2 linked regions of the Oryzias latipes genome follow. The protein of the gene in region 2 interacts with the protein of the main gene of each other region in a pairwise test. Links are inferred from orthologs where the notes say so. Each region holds a gene or a part of one and is shown on either strand. Other genes may lie near its edges.

Region 1 (6,858 bases), on a different chromosome or scaffold from region 2:
CAAGGTAAAAAAAAAAAAAAAAAAAAAAAAAAAAGTTGGATCATTAAAGGGAATGTGGCTGCATTGATTAACTAGCCTCCTAGGGGTTAGTTAGTGAACTGACCTGGCTCCAGTTACTTTCATTTTGACTGTGCTTCCATCTGGAAGTCAGACGGTTGCCTCATGTTTGTGATAATTATGGCAAACACATTTAGAGTAAAGCCTCAAATCTTTTTTTTCCACTCATACTAAAAGTTCTTTGTCTGCATTGATAGCAGAATCCACACTAATGACCCACATCCCTCAGAAGGTCTGACGCCCGGGTCAGTGTGATTTGGGCTGATGCAGAAGTTTGCTAGTTGGAGCTCTGGAGACGTCTGGCTGTAATGAACGGCTCGGCTTGGTGTAGTTTAGGAGCATTAAGGACCAAAATGCATTAGACTGATTAGACGGAGCAAACCCAAGTACCCTCTCCTGATAATGAGAACGCTTTGTCACTCATTAGCATCTCCACCGCTCTGGCCTCGCTGAGAGAAAAAGAGCATCTACATTTCAGTGTGCCAGCAGTTTCTTTTCGGTTCTCTTGATAAAGCCGAGTGGATGAAAGGGAGAATGAAGGATTTCTGACTAAATGGGTAATTTTCTGAAACAATAGAGAGCAAAACAGGATTTGGAGACCTCCTATGGAAACCATCCTCTGATTTCATTTCTCGTTTTGTGGATTTGTGCATCTGTTTTCCAGATTCAACAAAAGCTGATTTTCCTTCTGATGCTTCCCTTTTTTCTCATTCAATAAAAATACTTTCCAAAAGTCAAGACGAACCCTGCATTTTAGTTACGTTTGATTTCTTTTCTTTTGCTGCCCAATTAGCAAAAAAATTCAAAGAACAAAAATTTCCCAGCAGCACTTTGAAGAACTTAGTAAGAATGAGCTTGTTATCCATGGAGGATCTGAACAAACACGTTTGATGAAAGGCTGTCACTGCCGATCTGACTGAACTACTGAGTTGGAGCGGAGATGAGCGTTGAGGCAGAGGTCGCTGGTCAGAGCTGCATCAGTCCACGCTTTACAGGAAGTGCTCACATTGCTGTCCAGGCTTTGTTTACCGTCAGTTTAGGTTTCTAGCTTCATCCTATAGGTCACTGTGGTCTGTACATTGCAAAAACAGTCAAAAGTTTTTTACCCAATTGGCACAATTTCTTCTAATGAGCTAAAAAAAAAAAATCTGACAGAGGGGTCAGAAAAATGGTCTAATGAAGTATTCTTATTTTAAGAAATAAATTCTAGCCACAGAGACATGTTTCCTTAAACTAACATTATATTATTATTGAAAATCATAAGATTATTTTTCTTGCAAGAAACAAAACAAAACAAAACTGTTTCCTTGATTTTTCAGGGATCTTTGTGAGGGACCATTTGGCTTTCAAAAGAAAACAAACAAAAAAGTTTTTTCCCTCCTGATTATTCTTCAGTTCCATGTGAAACATGGAGAAAAGTCTGAAATGCGTTTAAGTCATGGATGTTTGAAAAAAGGTTGAAACCTTGAAGAAGATGGGCGGTGAAGAAGATCAGCTCGTTGGTTCTAGAAATGATAGGGAAGATTTCTGAAGGATGTTTTGACTGCAGACCTTCAGCACAACAACTTTTCCCATTAAAACCATAAAGTCTGGTCAACAGAAAAAGCAGCAATTGACATTTTATCTTCTGAAGTTACAAAAGTAATAGAAACAATAAAAACAGACTGTCATATCATAAATGTTTGGGTAATTTCATCAATAAATTGTACATATTTCATCTCATCTATAGTCATTGAGCTTTTATTACCTGTAGATTTAATTTTCAAGCAGTTTTATCACCTCAGTGTTTGGTGTAACATTCCCTTTGCTTTGATTGATTTTTTTTAAGCAGATTAATATATAAAAAAGAAATAAATAAAAAAATCAATGTTACATCCTCACTAATAAGACTTCACTTCTTATTTGCACATAAAAAGTTTTTATTTCAGTAAAGTTAATTATTTTAATTATTTGTGGTTTTACCAGAAAAAAAGTGAAGTAAAACATTTTTTGAATGCCCAAAGCTGATAAAGATCTCAGATCTAAACTGTAAAATCTGCAGAAATAGTTTTTGAGGTCTTTATTTACTGCATAATTAGTTGTGTTTCAAAAGGTTAAAAATTCTCGCAGGAAATATTAAGCCTTAAGGAGAAAACATAGATAAAGGTCTTTTGTAAAGGTATGTTTTTCTAAATAACTCCAAAAAATAAAAAATATGGCTTCCTTTACAAGAATGGGACTTTTAATCAACTTTTCTTTTTGTAACGGCAACATGTTTGTTTGTTTTTTTCTTGTTTTGTTTTGCTGCAGTACAAAAATCCTGTTTTTAATGCAGTGTTTAAAAAAACGTCGGATACTAAAAAAAAAAAAAAACTATCAGCAATCATCAGTACTTCTAAAATAGTGTGAATTTAATTCCACAATAAAAACCAGATTACATTTGCAGATATTTGACAAAATAGAAAGCCAAAACGGAAAAAAGAAATAGGGTTGATTTTTATTCTTTTGTAGAAAAATTATATTTACTGTATATAAACATTTCCACAAATTCAAATGTTTTTTTTAATCTAAATATTTCTTTTTTTTAAACCAAATTTAATTTTTAAAAAGTGAAAAAAAATTAAAGCTCCCCCTGTTGTCTAGAATGAGAATATGTTTTGAAATAAATGAATGAATTGAGAAAAATCTTTTCTGTTGATAACTAAAAAAAACAACAGGTTCTCAATAAAATAACTCAGAGACACAAAGAAACTGAACGAGGTTTCTGACAGGAGAAGGAGACGTCGTGGTGAGGAACTCCTCATAGCATCTCTGCGCTTCTCCTCCAGGCCTGACGTGGTAAGACTGTTTACTTCCAAGCATCAGAATGCAGATATCATGTTTCCTCAGCGGGGCTGTGGCCCTGAAGGCATCCCGATGATGGGTTTTATCATAAACTGTGATCTGCACAAACAAACCCCTCTGTCGCTGGAAAAGCCAGGCTCAGATCGTCACTGCATGTTAGACAGTTCTCTATTATTAGCGCGGGAAAACCCTCTCTTTGTTTGGAAGGGAAAAGGCGGGCTTACTTCCTGGTTCTGCGGTGGCTGCGGTGTTTTCGGCGACTCTTCTTCATGCAGCCTCTGCGGTCCCTGCTGGCCGCCCACGCATTGGCTGAGTCCCCATCGTTGGTCTTCAGCGGGTGACAGGCAGTTGTTTCTGATCTGTGAGCCAAAAGAAAGAAAAGCCCTGTTTAGAGTTGAGACCTTCACAGTTTACACTTCCATCAGGGATTGGGGGGGGGGGGCATGGTTAGAGCTCACATGGTCTGTTTTATTTTCCCTCCATTTCATCCTGCCAGCCGTTTTCCAGGGAAACTGGAAGCGCTCAAACCATCATGTCAACTAAAATATTGTTATTAGCACGCCTCAGCTGCCCCGACAGTCAAGCTAATGGCCTTTTGTATTGTTGTGCAGTTTAGAAGCACACACTAAGTTTCCCCCAGGTTTCATACATACATGGTAATGAAGAAGACTCAATTAACAATAAAGCTCTACCACTGCCTGTAGCTCCTCCTACAGGCTGCCACAGCAACAGCGTTAACAGCTTTTAAATGTGTAGTAGAAAACATGTGCACCCCTTTTAGCGTTACTCCTCTGTTCACCATGTAAAGCTACATTCATACCAGCTGCTGTAAACTCACGTTTCTGACCTTTACATATAAAATGTTCTCATTCACACGTCGCTACGCAAGTTTTTAAGTCCGTTCTCTGGCTCTCTACTTACAAACCGGCGTTTACTGAAGGCACGCTGGAAGTTCAACCAACATCAAACAGCTGAACTTTGATCAATCAGGGACTCTGATCTGGTCCCTGATCCGATACACGGAAGTGCCAACCGGTTGAAAAAGGGATCATGAAGGAGAAATTAATAACAGCAGTTTATGTTATATTATGTCTTACATATATTCAAATAGGGCTGTAAAAGAAAAAGCCTGGAGCAAGAGTCACGGGATTTGTACCGCTTCCACATTTCACTCCAATGCCTCTTCGCGCGCTACTAAACAGTAGAAAAACAAAAAAGGAAAAGATGCCCCTGGCTGCCGCTGCCTGCTTGTCCGGTGTAAACACCACAAGCTGAAGCGTTGACACTTTGTTGACCACCAAAACTCTTCAACCATCAATGCAATGAACCTAATTCCAACAGATTCCGAAGCGGACAAAAGCAGTTTTGCACTGATAGGCAACACTTTACAGAAGTGAGTGCTTATGCAATCAACTTGAAGCGTCTTTGCCCCATTATGCAACACTTTGTATAGTTTAGTGAGATATCAGATTAGCAATAGTCTTTGCCAAGTCACCACAAAAGAACCATACAGTAAATGTTTCTGATGTCCCAAAATGATTCATATCTCTGATAAGAATAGAGCAAGCAAGTGTCTGGTTCAGACACCCGATCAAACCGGCGAATGCCCCGTAGAGTGTACCAAGTAGTGCGCAGGAAGGGAATTTGTTTGGGCAAAGCCAAAATGTTTTGTTGCAGTAATTGTGTGATGCCATACTTTACAATCAGATGGCGCCAAGAAGTCCAAGGTCATGTCCACACCAACATTTCTGCACCAGTTTCATATGAAAGGAGATTTTCCTTCAATCTAAACTTTAAAGAGCAATCGTTGCTATGGAAAACAATCATGTTGGTGCCAGCAGTGTTCATGATCGCGTTGTTGACGTATTGTTCAGTGTTTGTGATATAACTCTCAACTCAGACAAGGCTATACCTTTGATTCTTTACAAATGATCTGCCTCCACCGTCACCAGAAGAAGGGCGGATCACCTGAACCTCCAAGAAACCTTCATCCACCAATAGCTTATTAAACTGTGATTTGATGTGGGCAAACAGCTCCAGCCCTGCTTATTATTCTGCGCTTTAGTCAGGAGAGATTTGAGCATAATTACACATTCTCCTCATCATCCAGTGGCTGATTGTAATGAGATGATAATCAGCAGAGACTACTCCATCAACACCTCCTCCTGCACTGAAAGCAGGCAGGAGCCGTCGCCTTCTATATTCTTCACCTGGGCTTTTTTGTGCTGTAAGAGGAAGTGCTCCTGACAGGGATCTAATATTGTCAAACGAGCGACGGCGCACTCCGACATGACTGAGCGTGGGAAAGGTCTTCTGGGAGGAGGAGACAGAAGCATGATTGGTCTGATCAAGCAGGATGATGGGGATGTAATCTTTAAATCGGCTTAATTTTGGACAAATTCATCCTCCGGTTGAAGCTGGACGAATAAAGTAAGAAAGTTTGATCAAAGTCGGTTTGATGAAATCCATAAAAATTTGATCACATTTCTTAGCATCTACTCAAAAATTTATTTTCACCAGATACTAGGTGCATGTACATTTTGGTGAGTTTTTGGGTTTGTGGTGGGGCGAATTGTTTGCTAAAATGTGCGGTAAGAAAAAAGAAGACAATTGCAGTCCAGGGACAGAATAATAACAGCTTTGACTGATCAAATAAACAAAGAAAGGCATCTTTTTCGGGGCTGTTATGAACTCTTTTTTGTTGAAAAAAAGACAACATTTAAAGTATGAGCTGTTAAGTTGACTGAATTTTCTTTGACAATATCAATAGTCTGTACCAGAAAAAAGCACATTGCTCCTAAAAGGGAAAGACTTTGTGGTCCGGACCGTCATCCGACCCTCATTTTGGAGTTTGTTTGCAGAGATGTTGGAAACATCTCTGCAAACAAACACAATCGCCTCCATTAATCTGCAGCCCAGAAACCCCAAAACGTTGCTAAATGAATGGAATGTCGACGACATCTGAGACAAATCATGCGGGAAATTTTCCTTCCACTTCATTCACCATCATCTACCCGGTCAATATAACCAGCAGACACAAGTGCCGCAACAACTTGTGTTGTTTTTCCCACCAACAAACCATGGAGTGAGGACACTTCAGACAGCTGATCTCAAACTGAAATAGAAGTTTATGATGATTTAATAATATCAGTTGTGAAGAAAAGAAATAATGAAGAACATTTGCTCTGCGGAGTTCCCAGAGGATCTTTCCTCCTTCAAGTTTTCCTTTTCTTCCGTCTCTTTTGTGTCACTTCACGACAGGTCGGTTGATGACTTCTAAATTAAATCTGCTTTTTCGTGGTAAGCTGCTCTCGTGGAAAAAACGTTCCGAGCTGTTCTGTCGAACAGCAGTCGTCATATCCTTTCAAACACAGTGACACCTCCATCCTGTCTGAAGGCAGAACACATTTCCAGGGTCAGTGAAAGAAATGAACAAAAGGCTTTTTATTGATGCAAATGCAGAGAAATGCTTTGTCATGACCTGAAATTTACGCCTCCGTCATGTATTTGAATAGACGATTCTGCCAATAATCCTTTCACATCCACCAAGACATTTTAGATTTATGGTGTAAATAGGTTTTCACAGAGGTCCAAATCAAGTTGGAATATTTTTCTCAGAATAAACTAAAGCATCAATAAAAAACTTTTGAATTTGTTTTTGCTGTTTTTCTATAACATAAAAGTGCTCTAGTGCATCCTCAGGAGGGGGCAGATACTTTGCTTCAGAGACGCATTTCGTGAGGAGTGATCATCCCGTCAGCAAGTATCCTGATGAGAGCTGATAACATGCAGCTGAGCGGATAGTGAGGGTGTGAAGTTGGTCTAGGAGGACGCCGGTCCCGTCTCTGCTCGTTTGTCAGGGTGTTGTGAACAAAGGCGTCATGCTCCTGACAAACACGATGACTTCTGCCTGAGCCACGTATGCTGAATTTAGGGTTGCCTTGTTTTTTTTAGTACATGGAGAAATGACTTCACTGA
Region 2 (8,864 bases):
TGGTCCTTTCTCTGTCTGAAAATCAAAAGGAGGCAAACAATCAATAAGTGGTGTGTGGTGAAGCAGCTCCCTTTATAAGGCTCCAAAAGAAAAGAATGGAAAAGGGAAAACGCTAATATGTTATGTTGACAGTGCTGTAAATAAAACTTTAAATTATTAAGGTTTATGCATGCTCCTCATCCACAGGATAAAGCCAGAATTTCAAAATGCTTGCTTTCTAAATTGAAAGTCTTAACACTGATAAAGATTAGTGTTTGAGCTCCCTCTAGTGTTAGCATGCAGTTTTGCAATAAGCATAAGAACATGGTTAGAGCTCAATGGAAAGATGGGGTTTTGAGGGGAATGGAAATGTAATAATCAAAAAAGAAAATCATTAATACTTTTTGTATCCTTCAAAATAAAAGCTGCAGGTAGACTGATTTTTTTTTGATTGATTTGGCTTATTTCAAACAAGTGTAATTATCAGAAACAGGAAAAAGAAAAAAATAAATTAAGTTAAGATGAAGTTAAAACAAGTTAAGATATTAATTCGCAAAATGATTTAAAAAAAAAATGAGAAAATTATTCGTAATCATAGACAGTTATACATGCATAACACACATTACACATTAAATCTTTTAAACATAATGATTGACAGAGTTTAATTGTTTAAGGGGAGTGGGGAAAAAGCCAATTTATATAGTCCCTTAAACATAGTTGCCATAATCCTGTTCTTAGCATTTCAAAGTTATTTTTGTTGTATCCGTCCAAGTACAGAATATTTCTCAGGCAAAAAGATAAAGTGTTTTTTCTATTATCAATATTATTGAACCATTACATTGAGATTGAGATTAAATGATTTTCTGGGCCACAGTGGAATATTCACCCACTCCAGCAGCATTATATGTATCCTCACAAACCTCCACTTCTGATGTGTTTAACACTCATCCTGCATGTTTACCATAAAGCACAGTTCAACTCATTCCGATGAAGCCATTTTTAGCCAAATCAAAAAAACCTGTCTCGTTTTCTAGGACATAGTTTCTGCAGAGCGGTGTAGGTACTGTAACCATTCGGCCTGCAATAACCGTTTGGGGTCCATTTGACTGAGGATAACGTCACACTACGGTAACCCCACTTGGACAAACTACGTAGCGTTTTAGTTCACATTTCCTTTTGTAACATAAAGTTCTTTTCCTTCATAAGTAGTGTCTGACATTCTTTGTAGTGTTTCTAGAGAGATTTGGCCACAACCCACTTTATAAAAAGATCTGTGGCTGTTAGAATGAACCGGCTGCTCCACACATGCAAACCGTTTCTCTGAGCAGAGCAGCCGGAGTCTCGTAGCTTTGTGTTTGCAAGCAGGGAAAGGTTCGGAACGCTGTCCGTTCGGCTGCAAATGCACTTAATGATAATCATAACAATAATAAAAGCACGTTCAGAAGATTATCTTACTCCATGACGTAGCTCTGTTTACAACAGAAATATCTTCTTCTATGGTAGTATCGTAATTTGTCCAGACCAATCACCATCTGACACGTCATCAGACCAACGGACAGCCAATCACATAAGGTGACGTCAGCACATTAAGAACGGTTGTTGCAGACCGAATGGTTATGGAAACCTACAGCGGAAGGGTTTTCCACAGAAATTGGCCTTTGCCTTGCAGGTGGGCCAGTGGGGGTACGCCAGTGCTGATTTCCCATCATCCCTTTGTTTACACTCTCCACAGCTAGCTTACAGCTCTCACAACCCCAAGATAACATTAGCAGTGCAACAGAAATGGCGAGCCATATTGGAGCTGGCCATACGTACAGTTTGGATCCAGATTACAGCTCAGACGTGGAAAACTGAGACGTTCATGGATCTATTTGTCAGCATCTGAATGGAGCGGAGCAGGGAGCTTGTGGCTCGCCGACTGTAGTTTCTATCAAACTACAAGCTTTCTCCAAGCTTTAAGATAAATTTTCTTTCTATATGTCCTCCATCATGAGAAAAATGCTACAAGAACATGTTAAAAACACCGAAAACATCATTTTCATTGGATTGAATATATAAGTATTGTGCGTTGAAATGCTAATATTTACAGCTGAAAGAATGCTGTTCTCCTTTTTAAAGATTGTATTCTTAAAAACGTGTTAGCGCCTATTTTTGACTTGTATAACACACTTTGTTGTCAGGTAGATAGATATACATAGAAGTGTGCAAATGGAAATGTAGTCATGGTGTCTTCAGTGAAAATCTGTCCCTGTTATAAACTCATTTTTATGACATTTTTTTAAAATTCTACAGTTTTGAATGAAGACTTTGACAAACCTTTTGCAGTCGTCGTTTGACTCTGAAGAGGAAGAATCCTGTCTTTGTCTTTTCTTCTTCTTCTTCTCCTTTTTTGCCTTTTTGCTCTTTTTCTCTTTTTTCTTCTTTTTACTTTCACGTCTAAATATTAAAGACACAGTAAGTAGATTTTTATTCATTTACTCCTCCCCTTACATACCGTTGGATAAGAGACTGTACATTGTAAAGGTCATTAAATAAACGCTTTTCTCACCGGACTTCAGTTTCTTGTTTCACTGAACTCTGTGTTGTTGTTGCTGATGTTTCTTGGCCTCCTTCAGTCTTATGATGCTGAAACGTCAGCAAGAATTTTATTTTTCTAGATTAGAGTATTTCTTAGGGTTAAGTATAAAAAAATTACAATATATATATAAAAAAAACAAATTTGTAAGTTTAAGTGATTCATATTTAATCATATAGTCCTGAATCGACTCATTCTTTTTGCCATACTCAACCCTCGTCAATATTGCTAAATAACTAATGCTAATAAAGTCAATAGTTAAAAAATTAAAAATCAAACACATATTTACTACTAATTTTTGACAATTAAAAAATGCTGTTTTAATACAATAATGTTTCCAAATGGCAGTATGGATGATGTAGAAAGACGACTTACTGTAAAAATTTGCAGACCCATTTTAGCCGCCTCCTTTTCCTTTTGGGACAGCACCATTTTTCGTGACCCTGCACTTTAGAGGGAAATAAAGATGGAGTCAACTTAAACAAACCACAGACAGCCAGTCACCTTATCTCCTCTGAACAGAAGGTTGAATTCTGCCAAACCTAAAACTGCAAAGAAAAGTCATGAAATATCCAAGAATATTATTCACCAGCAACCTGATTAACAAATCATTTGACTCATTTTAGTGTATAAACTAGAAAAAAAAAAACTATTAACAAACTCCCATTTGTCATTTGGACAATTAAACATAACTTCTGTACATTTGTTCAAGCAAATTGCATTTATAATAAGAAAAAGAAAAGTTGAAATTTTCCTAAAGCAAACATTTTGCATAAAAAAAATCTGTTTTATGACACAGACAAGAAGATAATCTCACCTTGAGCTTCCTAAACCTGAGATACGATCCACATCCTTCTCTTCACCATCAACCTCTTCTCTCCGGCATACCTCTACAAGATCCTGAAAAAAAAAATCAAATTCAACTTACAGGACTTGACAGCAATTTTTCCAATATTGACCAGCAACGTATCCATACCTCTTTAGTAAGCCCTGTTGGTTGTCTCTTTATATTCTTATGGCCTCTAAGTTCAGAACAAGAAACGCAAAGCATCACTTTTTGTGTCCTAATCTTCAAGAAGGTACAGGAAATGGCTTATGGGAAGTCGCACGTACAGGGCAGCCATCAGTGCCTCCTCCTCTGCAGCTCTGACTGCAGCAAGCTCCTCTTCTTTGGACAAAGGAGCACCACCTTTCTTGTCCTTTGCATACCAGGTCAGATCTTTCCCTTTCTGCCATCGTCCTACGGGAGCCATCAAGGAGTTTCCTGGAAAAAACGCAGAAGAGGTCAAACTATTTAGGTAAAGGTTCTTCTTTAAATTCTACATTTCAAATGCCACAAATTCAGAATACAAAATGTATTATGCAGGATTGTTATACTTTATATTTAGACTTTTTCTTTTATCTAGATGTTTTAATGTTTTGCACCAAATAATCATTTCAATAAATCTATTTGACTTTTAAAGATGATCATGGTTACACACATTTAAATGAAAATATTAGCAGTCCAGACTTCTCCAGTAGATGTATCCTTTTGCATTTTCCCCCATAAAGGTTCAAGTGTAAGAATCAAATTAGAATAGAATAGAATAGAATAGAATGGCTTTATTGTCATTGTGCATAGTACAATGAGATTTAAGCATCACCATCAGTGCAAGAACAGTAAGGAAGGGAAAAGTAGTAAAGATAACATTGTAATATAATAAAATCAAACAAGCAAACAAACAAACAGTATATACAAGTGTGCAATATAAGCTGTAAAATTGATATCAGATCAATGTTTTAAACTTCCTCCAGCTGAGTAAACTTTGTCTTTTAGAATATCTCATTATAGACAAGTGCAGTCTTGTTGTTAGACTGTTTTTTTAATTCCAAGTATTTAGGCAATCCACACATAAGGCAACAGTCTCCTGCCATGTTAAGGGTGGGTGTTTTGAGCCTCATTTCTGTTTGACTTTGCACCTGAAAGGTTGTGGTTTTAGCTCATATTTTACACAGACAACATTCAGAAATCTAAGCAGCTATGAGAGCTTGTCGATTTGCTTTTGTTACATGTTTCTCGGTCCCGACTACTGTGGTGATCACTACGTAGCTCTCTCTGGGCATGCTGACCCGCTGGCAGCGGCGAGGGCACAGAGACAACGAACGTGTCGACCAGAGGAGGCATTGACAGCACGTTTTTGCTTTCTTTACGGAGATTAATCGGGATTGATATCAAGCTATTAGATCAAGCCAAGCCTTGTGTAATGAGGAATTCAATAACAAAAGGTAGGAAAACAACCTAATTTTAGGGGGGCCACACGGGGTTTAAAAGCATCTGGAGCTAATCTTTCCTGGATGTGTGGCACGCGCTGATAGCGTAATCGACTGCACGTTATGGACTTACCGAGATAATTCTCTCTGTGTTTATCGACCTTCACTTCATCCCAGTTGAACTGGTCTTGGCCTCCACGGATGCCTCCGGATCTCGATGAACCAAACATCTTCAAAAGGGCAAAAAAGTGGAGATTCGGGGGGGAAAAGTAACACTTAGCTAGCTAGCTAGCAGCTACGTTGGTTAGCAGAGCTGCGTGGTCGGTGCGGGCCGTTAGCGTGGACTCATCCAGGAAGTTTAGATTCCCAGTTTCCACGAAAGAAACCCACACGGCTGCGTTTGTTTCGACAGCAACTTCCAAACAAACAAACAACCCAACAACGCGACAAAGAGCAGAGCGTTAAAGCTGGACTCTCGCGCGCGCAGCTTAAAGTTGCAAAGACCCAACAAACAATTTTTTTATTTAAGTAAAAAATTTAAAACGGTAGATTTGTAATCCTCAGCAATAAAGATCTGACTACTGCAAATAGAAGCAATACAACTTTTTTCCCGACTAACGAGCATTTCCTGCTCCTTTTGTTTATTTCATTTGGTCGCGTCCAGTGGCGCGCGCGGACGTAACGTGTTTGGGTACGTAGTGATGACGTAGGCGTCTCGCGGTGAGGAAAAGGGCGGCGGAGGCAGAAAATGCTCCGAGGACCGTCTGCAGAATCAGAAAAACCTGCCTCCCGATGTACATGAGACATTTTATCAGACTGTTTTCAGGTAGGAATGAGGATTTTTGACTTCCTTTCCTCCTTCTGCTGTTCTGTTCTCTTTTTCCCATCTCTGTGTCGGAACCACTATTCATTCCTGGAGACACTTTGTTGTCACGGAGCTACAGGAAAAGATGGTGCCCAAGAAGTCAACCGGTGTTTTATTTTATTTCAGGATGCATATAAATCCTAGATGGATGATACAACTTTTGATAGTAGCATAAAAACGTCCAGTATCATCTATTTTGTTTAATGTCAACTTAAATTAGGAAACCCTTTGTAAAATGTAATTTGGGAGAAAAATTACATCACTAACAAAATTGTCTTTCTTTTTTCTTCTTCTTTTTTAAAAATATTTATAAGATATCCAGTTTGCTTATTCATGCAAATTAATGCATTTTCTACCATTTGTCACTAAAAATGTGCATTTTGAAGAATTAGAATATAAGCTTATATCTGTGAGATGTTACATACCTTGCAATATTAAAAAAAAAACAAAAAAAAACATTTAAGTTGGAACCAATTTTTTAGGTTTTGGTTTACTGAAAAGTCTGATAATCTGTTGAGCATTTTTAAATGGTATTTATTCGGAGCAAAACAACATTGGTGCAGTTTGACACAACAGACATTTAACATATTATATTTTTAACCAACCAGTGAGATACTAAAGAAATAAATTAACAGAAAACCGTCAAACCCAAGAGATAAAATCAGTTTATTACTTTGCCACAATAATATCTACATTCAAGTAAACAGGACATCTGTAATGCAATACATGTGTATTTTCTGTGTGTTTTCTTAAGGATAATCAATTGATCTTCTCTTAGAACATGTACTTAACATTGATTGATAACATCTCATTTTAATCAATTTTATATAAAAAACAAACATTTTCTGTCAATTTTTTACGTAAAATGTTCTCATTGAATTAATGAAAGTTGTGTTTTGATTTGGTTAAATCACTAGTTATGTGTTAACAGTGTTTAACCAAACTGTCATGTAAACTGAAATGTAGATTAAAAAAATGTCCAATAGAATTTGACAGTGACGCTCAGCCTTTCTGGTTCACGGAGCCGCTAGTGCTTTGTAGGCTTCACGTGATTTTTATTTGGTTGTAAATCTGATCACATGATTCTCTGTGCGTTCATCATGAGAGTCAGTCTGTGCTGATCGTAGCTTCACATGTTTCTCATTTCCTGTCAGCCTCTTCTAAGTAGGAAAGGTTTTTTTTTTTGGAAAACAGTTTGAGGGAAATCAGAAGCTAATCTTTCTAATTGACAACTTAAGTTTAGAGAAATAAATGGTCTTGAGCAGAACTAGGTCTTAACTATGCACCAAATATATATATATTTTCATCTTAATTGGATGCAACCATTGATCATCGACTGTAGATTCTGTATTTTGTGGTTAAATATATATAAATAATTATTGGGATTTTTTTTTCCTGGGCTTCTCTTGTGTTAAAAACTTGGTTCGCTAAATGTGACCTGAAAACAACACAATTGAGTCATTTGACACTAGATTTAAACCTACATTTCTTTATTTTTCAGTCCACGACTGGAACTGTTGAAGCTTGAATAAATCAAATTGCAGTAAAACGTAGGGCACCTGTGCTTTCATTTGTTTAAACTGTTTCTGTCGGGAAACTAAAAGGATGTTTTATGACTAAAGGACTAAAGCAGAGTTTAAGTCTTTTTTTTTAATGTTAATGATGAAAAGGGCTTTACCTGCTGAGCAGGTTCCGCATATCTATTTAAAAACATTGACGCAGCAGCTTTTTACGCAGTTGCTGTAGTGTTTACAATAGGAAAAAAAAGAAACAGAAAGCTGAAGCTGACGTGGAAGAGGCAGCCCCACCCTGTCAGTGACCCTCCCATCCTGACTCAATATAAGTCCGCCCGTTCATTTCCCTCCGTCTGCTCAAGTGCTGCGTGATTTCAGGAAAGGTGAAAAGGTAAAGTAGAGTTTGTGGGGCTTTTTTTTTTTTGTTGTTGACAATATTTGACAAAACAGACATGATAAAACAAAAAGATCAGAGGATTTTCTTTTCTAGCTTTTGAGGTTTGTTCTCTCGACTCTTGTTGTAAAGATATGATGTCAATATTTGTTGAGTTTCTTATTCTATTTAAAAAAAAATACATGGAGATAAAGATGACGATCGTTAGGCCGGTTTGGCCGGTTTCTCTGGCTGGAACCTCGGATTGTCTGGAAAGAATGAAAAGAATTCAGCGGTTTGTGTTTTATTCCTTCTCCTGCAGCTATGGCTGGACCCAGGCCCCTGGTGTTTAGTGGCCCGTCGGGGGCGGGAAAGAGCACCCTGCTGAAGAAGCTCATGGGCGAATACGACAGTGTGTTTGGCTTCAGCGTGTCCCGTAAGTCCTGTCATTTACCATCAGGCTTTTAGCCGGTCAACAGTAAAGCTAATTTATATAAGATTAGAGCCTATCAGGCTATTTTCCATCTTTAGTCCCCATAGAACAGGTTGATGGTCCCTAAGGAACACGACAAGTTCAGCCAACAAAGAAAAGACAACAGAAGGCAGACAAGAGCAGAAACAGAAACAATACACACAAACTCATAAACATAGACGCAACAATAGGGGGGAAAAAGTAGACAGAGAACTAAAAAACAAAAACAGATAAAGCTAGAAGGAGCTGCATTTCTAGAAGAAAATGCAGAGTTTAATGCTGAATGAAAATGAAACTTAAAGGGTAATAATTGGCAAAAAAAATAATTTTTTTTTAAAGAGAAATGATCAAAGTTGACCATAAATAAAGTGAGAACAACACAATAACAAAAATATATTTCTGTGAATAATGCGAGCTCCGGGTATCGAACCAGCGAGCTCCTACACAGAAAGAAGCAAAGGATTCCCCGTGTTTTTCAATGGAGGCAAAAACCCTTGAAAAGTTCAAGGATTTGAAGGACCAAAAGTCACAGCTGGAAAAAGCTGAACGAGCTGAACGTTTTAATAGTTGAATGGATAACATAGCTGAAAAACTATAGAGGGAGTGAAGCACCAAAAAATGGCAGAAGATACGATTATAAAGAAAGAGAACCAGGAAAACAATGGGGCCTTCAACCAGTAAAAACTAGTACAAGTCTTTATAGAGGTGTGGTTTACTGTAAATACGTGCAGTCTTGTTTTCCGTTTGTCTAAATATAGAACATCAATAGAACTATATGTGTATTTGTTCATTCGTTTATTCAGAAAACTAAATCTCCTGTCCTTCCAGATACAACA

The links. The genes of interacting proteins can lie anywhere in the genome.
Region 1: the proteins of c17h1orf35 (region 2) and srrm4 interact in binary tests that used the Homo sapiens proteins (3 or more experiments, as listed by UniProt). The link is inferred for Oryzias latipes from reciprocal best matches to the Homo sapiens genes C1orf35 and SRRM4.

Annotation. Positions count from the first base shown.
Region 1 is NC_019867.2:3,738,722-3,745,579, reverse strand, and holds part of srrm4 (serine/arginine repetitive matrix protein 4), read right to left. Parts: intron 3,240-6,858; coding exon 3,105-3,239; intron 1-3,104. UniProt on the Homo sapiens protein: Splicing factor specifically required for neural cell differentiation.
Region 2 is NC_019875.2:27,888,492-27,897,355, reverse strand, and holds the start of c17h1orf35 (multiple myeloma tumor-associated protein 2), read right to left. Parts: upstream 5,490-8,864; 5' UTR 5,035-5,489; coding exon 4,938-5,034; intron 4,820-4,937; coding exon of another isoform or gene 4,798-4,819; exon of another isoform or gene 4,498-4,797; intron 3,853-4,497; exon of another isoform or gene 3,819-3,852; coding exon 3,668-3,818; intron 3,577-3,667; coding exon 3,531-3,576; intron 3,455-3,530; coding exon 3,372-3,454; intron 3,003-3,371; coding exon 2,930-3,002; intron 2,605-2,929; coding exon 2,528-2,604; intron 2,416-2,527; coding exon 2,296-2,415; intron 16-2,295; coding exon 1-15. Other genes in the region: guanylate kinase, read left to right, coding at 5,597-5,630, 7,879-7,992, 8,857-8,864.